Drosophila melanogaster: one gene and its partner. The protein of the gene in region 1 interacts with the protein of each later gene in a pairwise test. Each region holds a gene or a part of one and is shown in the gene's direction. Other genes may lie near its edges.

Region 1 (7,933 bases):
CACTGCCACTGCAGCCGCAATTTTCACTTTCCATTTTTATTGGCAACCGCAGGCGAGCGCCGTCAAATATTTGGCCAAAAAAGAAACTGCACGGCTGCCAAAAGGTTTTTACGTCTCCGCGCCAGCCTGGCTTTCTTTTAATTAAATTTTGCTCTTCTGTTTTCAGTTTCTTATTTATTTTTTTTTTTTTTGGCGGTCTTTTCCTGCGGTTTGTCCCCCTCATTTCTATGGGATCTGCAGCTCGTCGTGTTTGGGGTATTAGTTCTGGGCACTGGCGCTTAAAGCCGAGTCACGCCTGTCATATGCAGTTTGGCTTTTTCCGTCGAGCTGAGATCGGCTCGGCATTATGTTTTGTTTTGTTTTGTTTGGTTTTGTTTTGGACCTGGCTCTCTCTGATCTGCCCAAAAAGCTAACTGTAAACATTCACTTACTGACCTCTTTTCCCATGCGACGGCCACTTCCACCTCCACCTCCACTCAATTTTCTTTAATGCACGCGACTCCGCCGCCAATGATCTGCTTCTTCACCTTCCTCCACCCACCGCCAGCGCACAGTGGTTCCAAAACATGTGGAATTTAAGCACCCACAACGCATTTCCCAAAAATGATGATTTATTGCACAAAGTTTTAAGGGAAAGTACTCGTAAGAAAAAAAAGCAACATTAAAATTCTTAAAAAGATTGAATATTAACTTAAAGCTCATATGTCCCGAACCATGAAAGATTAAGGATTATGTTTTGCTTAAGAACATTTATTTACTTACTATTTATAGTTTAAAATATAACTTCATTTTTTATGTTACTAGCAAGTTATTTATTTGGGTAGCATTACTTTGTATTCCTTTTAACATAAGCTAGAATTACTTAACTAAAATATTATTATATCAAATATATAATACCTAAGACAATTAGATAAGGTCTAAGCTCTAATAGCTAAACTATGCCAAAATCAAATATTTTTGTGTGAATGCATTAGTAAACATGCACCTTAAATTGGCATCAGGACACTGTGCAAGGTGATAGTAGGCTATGTGTGTGTGACCCTTATTCGCAACGGCCGCTGAGGCGTAAAATTTATGGCTTTAAAGTCTACAAGTCTATAAACACAGCTTCCAGGCTGCACTTTCTACTGCAACTGCAACTGCCAATGCCAATGCCACTGCAACTGAATCGTGGACTCGGATCGTGAATATTGTATATTGGATGTGGGATGGTATGGCTTGGGTTTGGGCATCGGAGATGTTGGGGGAGCACGGACGTGGATGTGGATGCATCTGATCCGATCGAATCGTATCGTATCGAATCGAATCGAGTGTGTGAGTTATAATTTCAAATGCGGCGCGCCTTTTTGGCTGCATTTTGCTGCCACTTTTGGCAAATTAAATTTGTACGCAAAACCGATTAGGCCAGGCAGACATGACCAAGTTGTTATTTTAAATACCAACAACTCCATTTAATCAATATGCCCCGGCACCCAACAATGCACTCGAAAAACTTGTGGTAGTAAACCGTTAAAGTTTAAAAAGAAATATAGGTCTATTCAAAAAGATCAAGACTAGACTACATTTTTAACTTAAATTTACTTGCTCTCTTTACTGCTCTCAATATATGTTACATTTTGAAAGTTTGAAACTGCACAGACATGCATATCTTTGAATTGTATCCTTTTACAATCCACCATTGCTGTTATTGTACATTATAACTTTTTTATTATTATTCATATATATTTTTATTTTTTCATTGTTTTTCAACTTTAAAAACTTAAAGAAAGCGGTGCTTTTTGTCCTAACTGGAAATACTCTTGATTTAGTATTCAAAAGATGAGTGAATTGTTTCGAGTGTAGCTGCAACAACAACAGCGCTGGATGCTCTGCTCTGCCGTCGCCGACTGCGCTGCCTTTCACCCATATAAATTTCTTTTCATTGCAAATTTTTTGCCATTCGTCGGCGCATTGTCAAACCTTCCAGTCGCATTTGGAGCCCAAGCTTTCCGAGATTTCAGAGCGACTCTAGAGCGCACTAAACAAAGGCCTAAGAAAAAAGTTAAAAAGGCGAAAAAAGAAACAGAGGCAAAGACGACAATACGAATTGTACAAATCGGATGCGAGCGCGAGTGTGTTAGTGCCCATTCATTCATTCATTCATTCGAGAACAATAAAAAAGAAGAAATGAAATACGAAATGCAATCGCCGCAGTTGCAGTCGCAGTCGGCGTCGCAGTAGGCGTCAGCGGAGGCATCGGCCGAGGCAGAACAGTAGCAGCAGCATCGAAATCCGAAAGACAGATCATTTTTCATATGCGAATCGAAACTCGAAGAGCGCGCATCAAAGTCAAATTCAAACGACAAAAGAGTAACGGACAAAAGCGAATTGTTTTGTGCGCATAATAGAAACGAAAAAAAAAAGAAAAACGTTATAAAAAGCAAATAAAAGGAAAATAAAGCCTTACCAGAACCAGTAATTGAAATCAAATTAAAGGCGGGCCGTGCAAAAATCCACAAAACATCAAGAAAAAGCCATAAAGCCAAGGCGATAAAAAAGAAATTATGCTCCATTGTGCGATTGTGTGAAAAGGTCAAGTGCCCGGCAGGCAAAGGGAAAAGCGAAAGAGACAGAAGACAGCGTAAGACACGGGAGCTTGATGTTGATAGGCAAACGAATGAACTCGTAAAAGGGCGCTAAAGAGAGAGAGAGAGAAGGCAACACAACGACATCGGTTAACAAGAAGAGCAGGAAGAAGAAGAAGAAGAGCAGGCCAGGCCCAAATGACCGCAAGATTACCGTTAATTCGAACAGCTTAAGCGCCATTACGAGCAGTTATATAGTCCATATACTATATAGCACCACTATATCTCTATCTCCCTGGTAGATCGACCGAGGAAGAGAAAAAAAAACTTTCATCCACCGTGAGCCGCAGCCGCATAAAAGTTTGCTACTATTTCAATTTCAATTGTTAACGAGCGAAAGCGCCGCACGCCTCAGTCTCACATCACGCACGCATCCGATCCGAGCGGCAACAACAAATCATCAAGCGTCTAATAGGAAAAGTGCAGCAGACAGCCAGCGAAAATGCACCACAAACAGCATCTGCATCTGCATCTGCAGCCCCCCGCCCCAAACGCCACCCAAACACAGGCCCACGGACTTGGCCAGACTCCAAGCCAGATCGCCAGATGCAGCCATAACCACAGCCCCAGTCTGGGCCTCAGCTTTGGCGGCACCAAGAGCCAGCGACAGCTGTTTGGCGCACTCTTGGCCATGTTCACGTTGGCGGCATTTGCGTCAACCACCAGTGGTAAGTCGTACACTGCGAGAAATCCCAAAATTGGTGCTACACGTTGAGTAGAAAGTCACAGGAAGTAGTCTTAGATCATTCGAATCTCTTTCCTGGCATTCTCACTATTCAAATTGTTTAATTGCCTCAAGAAATGAATCAGCTAAAGAAGTATACGTTGATTCAGATTCAGCAAAGTTCCTCCTAACTAAATTAAAATCAGATTAAGATAAAACTAGGTTCCTTAAGCAGAGCATTAAGTCCAATATAATCATAAAAGAGAAAACTGACTATGGAACTCTTAAGCCATTGCTAAAGTAAAGAATGCTCTATTTAAATCCAGATTAGTTAACATTACATTTAAAAGGGCCTAATACAAGTTTCAAAGGGTATTAGTTTTCCTCTTGCTAAATGTACTTTCTCCTAACTATCACATCGTTATTGAGTTGCAGTTAAAACTGCGGACAGAGTTCTAGGGAAACCCGAGTTCTTCAGCGGAAAACGGCAACTGATCTTGAGCTAAATGAAAGTTGCAGACAGACTGGACAAGTCCCAGTGAGTGCCGTCTCAATTACCGCCTAATTTCTCCGGGTGTTGAAACGGAGAAGGTGAATCGGGGTCCGGATCTAAGACCTACAGCTGTGCGGTGGTAGAAAGGCCGTCGCAGCAGCTATTCAACTATCCATTTCTAAGGTACTACTCCGCACAAAGTGAATGTAAACTGGCACACATACACGAGCGCGAAGCTTCCAATGCCCCAACACCTCTCCCCCCACCGCCCCCTAGACCACGAACTCCCCAGTTTGAGGCACTCACTCCTCGACGCACAACATGCTCGTAAATATTTTCGTGCACAATTTGTCCAACATTCGTATAAATTCATTAAAAGCACGAAGGGGCCAAACAGAAGCCGGGGGCCTGAAAACGTAGGGGGGGGGGGGGGCTGGTGGAAGAGGGGCGAATCGCTAGCTCATGGGGGGGGGGGAAAATCAAGCTGACCGCACAGTGGCAGCGAGCTGGAAAGGGTTGGGGGTCAATTGGGGGGGTTACATCGTTTAAAGTTGACCCGAAGCGAAATGATTTATTTGACTTGTAAGCGCGATCGTTTGGCTAATTGATAACCGCACTTCATCGGAGATTGATGGGTGAAAGATCAATTAGTTTTGGATGCTGTGATATATGCTCGCATGCATATACACATATATATGTACATATGTACATATATGTTTTAATGGCCCCAATCAGTGGCGCCGTGATTCATTCATCTATGGGCTTGGTCATGTCGCTGCTCGCCACTGTGCCACACCAAACCGGAGCAAACCGAGTGCACATGGTGTGCTCCATGTGCATATATAGATATGTATGTACATATGTACATATATATATGTACATACCCAGTATATATCATGCAAAAGTCCCTGCCCAGCAGTGCAGTGCGTTGGTTGCTGGATTTTTCCACTTTTGAAAATTATACGGTGGCTGCTTTTATTATTTCTCTCGCCTTTTTTTTTTGCAATTGATGGCATCCGATAGGCAGGAGCCTGCCAGCAATTCGCTGGAGGCCAGGAAAATGCACCTGCACTGGGAGAAATCAGCAGAACATATGAACAAAAGGAAATCAGTAAATCAGAGGTGTATTTAAAATGCAAAATAGTATGGTGTATGGTGTTGTATAAGTTTGTACCATTAGTTTGCATGAGTGATTTGATTCTGAGTTTATCCCAGGACTAGTACCACACTTTTCTGCCAGTGCAGGATTGGTGAGAGTGGGTGGGGCGGTTGAGGTCGCATTGCTGCAATGCTGAATGAGATTGGCTGTGGTCTCGGCTTTTGCCTCTGACCATTCCAGCGGATCGTTTACATGTGCATTAATTCCTAACGCCGCTTAATTTTCTCCGCGCTTAATGGCTCCTCTGGATGCCGATGCCTCCGATTCAGATTCGGACTCGCATCCAGCCAGAGAAGCATCCGAGTCCATTAAGCTGAGAATGCGTCTGCTCGACTGACTGACTGGCTGGCTGGCTGGATGTTGAAATTTCCATCTTTATGGCCGGCAGCAGCAAATTGGAATAATGAACGTGGGTTCAATTATCGCAGCCAAACCATCGTGTGGCAGCCTCAAAGAGCGCTAATAGATTTTCTACTGCTGTTGGGTATGTCTATTTACGTTCGTATATCTTTAACTAAGTTGAGTGCTTCCTCCGGAGGCGGCTCTCACAGCTTTCTTTGCAAACAAAAAAAAAAAAAAAAATAAGAAAAATGGACAAATCAACCCAAACTAAACCAGCAGTTCCACATCCGACCAAAGACAACAGAAATGTTCGGCGCCGGAGGCAATTAGTGTGGAAATTTCACTTGCAGTTTTTAGCACAGATTAAGCTTACGATTTCTGGAGGGGATTAGCATGAACAATTATAGATGGAGGTCGCTGATAGTCCGTATGAACGAAGCGAGTGTATTAGCTGTGCTCAAACCACAGCCAAAACATAAATGCCATTGTGTCGTTTTACTTGGAATCGAGATTTGAAGACGGGTAACATTTGCCGTTGCCGTTAGTAAAAAGGGAAAGAATTATTCAAGTTAATGGCTGGTTACTTGAGTCGGTCATGCGATCACTCCAGAATCAGAGACTGGTCTCGGATGCGGGGGAGTGTCGGCGGGTGGCGGCATGGACACAGTGGGTCACAACTGCGCAAAATGCCCTATGATCGTGCGGCTAATCTGACATTTGTATGCCCACAGTTGACTCTTCCGCATGCCACCGCTAAAGAGCTGTGGAAAATGCGAAGGGAAAGTTTCATTTGGCGGTCTCGAAACAGAGTTACCCTGGGAAAATTCGATGGACAACCGGTCATTACGTGCGGGGAAGTAGTAATTATTACTAAGCTTTGTTTAATAAGTTCATATAACAGAGGAGGAGGAACTACTGTCTTGCTTTAAATGTTTAGAATTAAGTTTCTAGATAGAAACCAATTAAATTCTAAAATCATTTCCATCCACAGGCGCTGTGACAGACTCACCCATCAAGATTATCCGGCTGCCGGCGCAGGCGCCAGTTATCCGCTATCGCAGTGCAGATGCGGCGCCCAACTCATTGCTGATCAACTATCGTCAGGATGCGCGACCGGAGCTGTCGTCCACATTGATGCAGGCACCCGGAGCGGCGGCAGCTGCCTTGGAGTCGCTGCTGCGCGAGGAGACGGAGCAACAGCAGCTGTCACAGATGGGCAGACGGAATAGGGCTAGTAACACCGGCACCGGCAACTGTCCTCGATCCTGTCCACCGAGCATCACCGTGGGAGCTGAGCCCGTGTGCGGCAGCGATGGTCTGATCTATGCGAATATCTGCGAGCTGCGCAAGAAGACTTGCTCCCGCAGTGGAGTGTCGCTGATCAAGGACGTGCGGGATGGCTGCGAGAGGTCGAAGGGTTCGGACTGCAAGCACCGCTGCAGCACGGAGAAGGATCCAGTGTGTGGTACAGACGGAAGGACCTATCTGAATCGCTGCATGCTGAGGGTGCAATCGTGTCGCGTGGGATTGGCTGCAGTGAAGCTATCGCATGTGGGTCCCTGCAGCAACACGAGTGCCGTGCGTGAGTCCTGTCCGGTTGACTGCAACAGTGCGCCGAAGGATGGACCAGTTTGCTCATCGGATGGCAATGTATACAACTCCACGTGCGAGATGAAGCTGAAGACGTGTGGACAGGGTGTGGTGAAAACCAGCCGGAAGCACTGTCAGTCCACACGAATGTGCAGGGAATCCTGCTGGCGTGTGGCGAGGCCCACTTGCGGATCAGATGGCAGACTGTATGCCAGTCCGTGCAAGATGCGCTCTTCCAATTGCGGCAAGCACGTCTTTGAGGTTCCCTTATCCTACTGCATGTCGCAGGAGAGGCACGGAGCCTCCGATGCCTGTCCCACGGAGTGTCCCAAATCGGATACGGATTCCTCGTCGCAGTACGTGTGCGGCAGTGATGGCAACATATACTCTTCGCTGTGTGAACTCAAAATGCTCAATTGCGGGTGAGTTTGGATGAGATAAAAATGGAATATAACCAGACTAAAATTTTATCTTTCAGTCCACAGCGCAAGTCCATTCAAAAAGTGAGCATGGACAAGTGCAAGAATCGACTGACCCGCTGCAAACAGCTGCCTCCTTGCAAGGACTTCAATAGCTTGTTCGGTTCCATCTTCAGCTCGAAGCGAAATGACAAGCTCTGCGGCACGGACGCCAAGACTTATAACAATGAGTGCGAACTGGCCCACGCCACCTGCCTGTGAGTATCCATGATAGGATCATCCATAGGACATGGATCTAGCTCTTCAACTTCTTTTCAGACGCGGCGTGAATCTGGCCCACATTGGTCCCTGCACGGATCTCAATTCGCCCACCAAGGATTGCGGGGATGCCTGTACTCGGGCGGATCTGGAACAGCAGCCAGTGTGCGGCTCGGATGGCAACACCTTCGCCTCCATGTGCGAGTTCAAGCGGCGCACTTGCGATCTGCGTGTGGTGCCCGTTTCGCTAAAGAATTGCGCTTTAACCGCCGACTGCGAATCGGATTGTGATGCCCAGCCGCCAAGTTTCGTCTGCGGATCGGACAACAACTTGTACAAGTCCGAGTGCCACATGCGCAAGGAGAATTGTGGCAAGCATGTTTT
Region 2 (5,701 bases), on another chromosome or scaffold:
GCTTGAAGCTGTGGTTCATGGAGCGCAGTGTTCGCTTGCTGGCAGGAGAGGCAACGTCTGGTTCTCGATTCTGTGGCATCGACACACGATGCACCAACTCACTGACCACGCGACCAGCTCGAATGCTCTCCAGCAGCCAATCTAGGCGCACCACATGAACTGAACCCATGAGACCATCGCGCTGCCACTGTCGGTATTCGGCGTCATCCAGTTGGCCCACAATGATGTGTGAGATGCCCTCATTGGCCTCATCGTAGCGGGTCGCTCCGCCCGTATTCAGCACTCTGTTTAGCTTCTCACGCTCCTCTGAGCGGAAGCCACTCAAATACACACAGCAGCCATCCAGAAAGGCGCCCGCTTTTTTCGCCTGACGCGGTTCAATCTCGGCCAGCACCTGCTGGTAGTTGCGGCCACTGCTAGTCGCCTGCTTGAGCAGCTGCTTGGCGGGCGAACTGCTGCCCACACTGCTGACGGATTCGTTGACGGTACTAAGATCGCTGCACATGCGACGCGAGCCGGAGACGAAGCTGATACGTGAGAGATCCGAGAGGTGCGTTTGATCTGCACCGGGAGCTGCGCCCGGACGAGTGGTCTTGGTGGGTGTGGACGACGTCTTGCCAGGCCGCACCTCATAGTCCTTTGTGGGCAGAGCGTAGCCGCGATTGCAGCTATCGAAGATCCATTCCGGCAGCAAGACATCCTTCTTGTAGCGTATGGCTGCCTTATACTTCTCGGTGTCCGTTTTTGTTTGCTCGGTGATGACGATGTCCACCACCTGGGAGCGAAAGGCACGATGATAGATGCCTCCATTATCGTTGACCAGCCGCATAACTTGATCCTTGCGCGCCACATCCAATCCACTGCACGTGATATTCGCACCAAAGAAAATGGGCAGGCGATACTTATCGAAATCAGGATCCGTGGCCATGATGCCCTCGCGCTGGCTGCGACGACTCTGATCCCAGACGTACTGCACCCAGTCGACGTGCATTACGGGTACTCCGTTCAGCGTTGCCTGCTCGTACTTGCTGGACTTGATGGTGTTCGAAATGAGGTGGGTGGTGCGATGCCCGAAGCTTTGAAAGTATATGCCGCCCATCCAGTTTATGAGCCTGCTCAATTCCTCTTTCTTCTGTGGTGTTATGCCCGTGGCCGAGACCTGCAGATCCCGCATGGCCGTGCTGTAGATGGCACTGCTGCCCTCGGGAATGGGTTCATTGCGCCGCAGGCAGGTGATGAGGCACGGTGGCCCCAGAATTAGTGCTCGCGTCTGCTGCAATTGCTCGAAGAATTCGCCCTCGAACTGGGTCAGCACAAAGACGTCCTTCTTGGTAAGGTTACCGGCTGCGATCAGGGGATATCCTTCGCTTGGCTTTATTTGCCGGATCTGCGTTTCCGCCAACTGTTGGCCCAGTAGCTCCCGCGCCGCCTCGAATTGCTGCAGTGTGTCGGCCTCCTGGACGCCACCGTCGCCCGGCTTCAGATTGTTCACGAAGTACGCGCAGATGGTCTCGTCCATGCTCATGCTTATGCTCATGATGGCGGTTGCGAGTGTGTTCTCTGCTCCGTGATGCGCTGCAAAATTGCCGTGATTTTCGCACTGCACTTTTTTTCGCGTACGCTATTTTGGCGCCGTTTGTTATTGCCTTCAAACCGTTGGCAACGCTGGCTTGTGATTAGTTGGCAACTACGAGTTGAGCTATGTGGCAACGCCGACGGCGAATTAAAAAATAATGTGTATGGGTAATTTTAATTATTTATCTCTAAGATGTAAGGATTTTTTATTTACTTTTTATCAAATAAATAAAATATTTCGAAAATAAGCAGTTATTTATCAGTTTTGGTTTAAGCTATCGATATATTTCATTAAGCGAAATATCGATATCCACGTCGTCGACGGCAGCTCAGCCCTAAAAGAAAGGAAGAAAGAAGAAAGGAAAGGCAAATCAGAAATAATCAAGACATTGACCAACTTGTACTATTGCTAGTTTTGTGGACACAGGATCCAACACTTGAAGGCGACCACAGCTTTCGCACACTCACACACACACAGCGGCCATTTTCCGCCGAACAAGTGAAATGCCAACATGCCATTGTATGTGTGGTGGTGACCAACTGAAATAGAATAATAAACTAAACCAAAGCGAAGAGAAAACGTAGGCCAAGAGCTATATTGGATCTGTGTCACAGTTTTCCATAGCACCAACCTATCAAATGGGCAACTTTGTGAGCAGACAGAACGCGGCGGTGGAGGAGGCCGATCCGAGCACGAACAATGCCTACAAGTATCCACCGAGAATGGGTAACTTCTTTGGCACCCACTTCATCATGGGCGGCGAGCGCTTCGACACGCCCCAACCGGAATCGTACTTGTTTGGCGAGAATGCGGATCTCAATTTCCTGGGCAATCGACCCACAGCCTTTCCGTATCCCCCGCCGCAGGCCAATGAACCGACGAAGACCCTGAAGAGTCTGGTCAACATTCGCAAGGAGTCGGTGCGTTTCGTCAAGACGATGAACGACAAGAAGCTGGGCGGTGTACTCGAGAAGCCCAAGATGAAGGAGATTGATCGGGACTTGGATCTGGACAAGGAGAAGTCCAACGTGACCATCGAGGATGTGGATGGAAATGTGCTCTGCTCGATGGGTTTGGGTGGCGGTGATGCCGATATGACGCCCCCACCGCCGCCCTGCTCTTACAACATCGAGTTTACCTTTGACTCGGACGCCAAGTGCGCCATTACCATTTACTATTTCTGCTCGGAGGATGTCAGTCCCAGCGGCGTGACACTGGTGCCGCGCGAGGGTCTCACCTCGGAGACGTACCACTACGAGAAGGGCATCAATCAGTGCTTCTCGCAGCCGAGCCATGTCTTCAATCCGCAGCAGATGCCCGAGGATGAACTGGGCTATAGTCCCGGCCGTGAACAGTATCCCGTGGCCATTCACTGTGTGGTGGAGGAGGGCAGCGACGAGTGTCGGCAATCGCACACCACCATCTGTGTGATCGATCATCATCCGGAAAACGGCAGCTATGTGCTGCGTGCATTGAAGCAAAAGATCTTTGTGGATGGCTTGTGCTACCTGCTACAGGAGATCTATGGCATCGAGAACAAGGCCGTGAACAAAACGTCTCTGGACGAGGAGATCGACGATCATGGCAGCGAGTGTGTTATTTGCATGAGTGAGACGAGGGATACGCTCATCCTGCCCTGCCGCCATCTCTGTTTGTGCAATTCATGCGCGGATTCGCTGCGCTATCAGGCCAACAATTGTCCCATTTGTCGCGCTCCGTTTCGGGCGTTGCTTCAGATCCGTGCTGTCCAGAAGGGAATTAGCACGCATGTACTGCACCAGAACACGCCCACATCGGCGGCCGGGGAGCCGGCGCCAGTGGATGTTCCGCCAGGCTATATTCCAGTCTCACTAATTGAGGCACTCAACGGACCGCCACAGTATGTGGCCAGGGCTAGGTGAGTTATGGAATGGAATTAACCGATAAATCTTACGTAGCTGATGCCTTTTTTTCCAAAATTCAGGAACAGCGAACACGATGTCACGGACTCAGCTGCCACCGTGGCCGCTTCGACAATGACCAGTGCTGACATCAAGGCCACATCGCCGATCAAGTCCAGCAGCCAGCGTCGACCGAAGATCAAGAAAAACGCTTCGACGTGCACGTCGACCAGTGAGGTGGGCACCATTACCAATCAATCGGGCGGCGGCAATGGGTCATCCACACACTCTGTGGAGATTGAAAGCGATCCGAAGAAGTCCAGCACGGCCACCTGTACTTCGCCAACATTGGGGGCATCCACTTCGCCGGAACCGAAACAGGACAAGCTGCAGATTGTTAACGAACGAAAGTATCCCAGATCCACAGCCGGTTCCGGTGGCGATGGCTCCGCGGGTACCGATGACGATGTGGACAGTGAGAACGAGAAGCTATCGCCTCTGCTATCACCCGGCAGCAAGAGCAAGAACGTTTCTAGCAAATCGCTGAAGCAGGTGGTGGCCTGCCTGGAAGCGGATGATGATGTCGATAATAAGAGCAGCACTGGTGATGGGCCGACCGAGGAGTCCAGCCTAAAGAAGGGTTCGTCGATAAAGCGCACCAAACCGAGACCAGAACTTAGCGGAAGCGGTGCACCCTCACCCGCCGAGGCCACGGCCGAGGATTCGGATTACTACACGCCGGAGGATACTCAGAATTCGATATTAAGCCCACTGTGCCCCACGGAGCGAGCCAAAAGCGGTGATCCCCTTGGCGCCGGCAGTCTGGGCAATGGCGGTCTCAGCGTGGGCAGGAGCGCAGGATCAGTGGGCGGACAAGCTGGAGTGGGACCCGTCGTTGTGGGTTTCAGTAGTGCAGTTAAGAAGAACCTGCACAAAAAGTCCACATCGGTGGGCAACATGGTGGGCTCCGGATCGGTGACAACGGTTGTGGACTTGAAGTCCAACAACGTAAGCTCCCTGCCAGGTTGGTGTTTCTGATTCGGTTTCCAATTGTCACATGATTAAAACATATATCTTACTGCCATCCAGACATGTTGGACAGCCCAATCAGCGGCAACTCGGCCTCGACGCGCAGCTCCAGTGATAGCTACTCCTCCAGTTCGTCCACCAAGCAGCTGCTCAGCTCCAATCCGACCACTACGGCGGCCAATATTATCGTAGATGACAAGACAGCTCTGCAGAATGCCGTCAATGTTTAGAGCCGGTCTCGGTTGAATTTCGCGGAAATTCGTTTTCTCGTTTTAGCTTTGCGTTTATACTATTTATTCGGAGTTCACCTAGATTTAGTTAAATCAATGCTGCTTCCCCGCTCGCAGGAACAAATATTTTGAGGATTATATTAATATTAATATTAATGGTAATGCTAATGATGATGATGATGATGATGATGATAATGATAATACGGATAAGGATGGAACGGAGGAGGAGCAAGGAATAAGGCTACCAGGACGCAACACTTAACCAGTATACACAGTATATACATACATACAAACACTAACACCACAGACACGAAAAGACACACGTCCCACATGCATGTGTGTGTATGTAGTTTAATCTAGTATAATGGCTTGGGTATATAACAAATAAAATAAATCCAATAAACAACGGCGCCTAGGGCGCTACATTCCACAGTATAATTCGAACTAAATTAGTTACACTATCAATGGGCGGCAGTGTGGTATATACATATATTACTCCTTGAATATCAAGAGTAACTTGTGAATATTAATTAGCAAGAATGAAGTAATTTAGCAACAAATATATTAATCTAAAGCCATTAAATACATGTGGCAGTACGCAGTAACAAAATAATAGTAAATTGTGGTCTTAAAACCATAAATCCAACACATTTTTGTATTAAATAGTTAATTCAAACATACATATTTTCAAATTCGAATTTTAATATTACGTTATGCGTTAAAGTGAAATTATAAACTTTTACTTATACGTAAAAGAAAAATGTCATTTCCAATTTTCATATTAAATATCAACTTTAAATGCATTATTTAAATAAAAAACTTTTGCAAATCGCTATCGATAACAGCGCCCACACTATCGAAAGGCGTCGATAGGCCGCTAGGAGCTGCCATCACTAGAGATCACCCTTGGAATTGTCCAATTGGATTTGTTTACCTTTCGCCCGTTTAAGAATTTCTTTTCGGTGGTTTTTCGCGTGGTAAAGTGG

What was found. The genes of interacting proteins can lie anywhere in the genome.
Region 2: the proteins of CG32354 (region 1) and Mrgn1 interact in a two-hybrid assay, tested with the Drosophila melanogaster proteins (one large-scale study listed by BioGRID).

Annotation. Positions count from the first base shown.
Region 1 is NT_037436.4:8,416,200-8,424,132, reverse strand, and holds the start of CG32354 (uncharacterized protein), read left to right. Parts: upstream 1-1,927; 5' UTR 1,928-3,066; coding exon 3,067-3,292; intron 3,293-6,273; coding exon 6,274-7,294; intron 7,295-7,350; coding exon 7,351-7,548; intron 7,549-7,609; coding exon 7,610-7,933.
Region 2 is NC_004354.4:13,718,190-13,723,890, reverse strand, and holds Mrgn1 (mahogunin ring finger 1), read left to right. Parts: upstream 1-1,913; 5' UTR 1,914-2,214; coding exon 2,215-3,473; intron 3,474-3,539; coding exon 3,540-4,480; intron 4,481-4,545; coding exon 4,546-4,715; 3' UTR 4,716-5,157; downstream 5,158-5,701. Other genes in the region: mus101 (mutagen-sensitive 101), read right to left, coding at 1-1,537.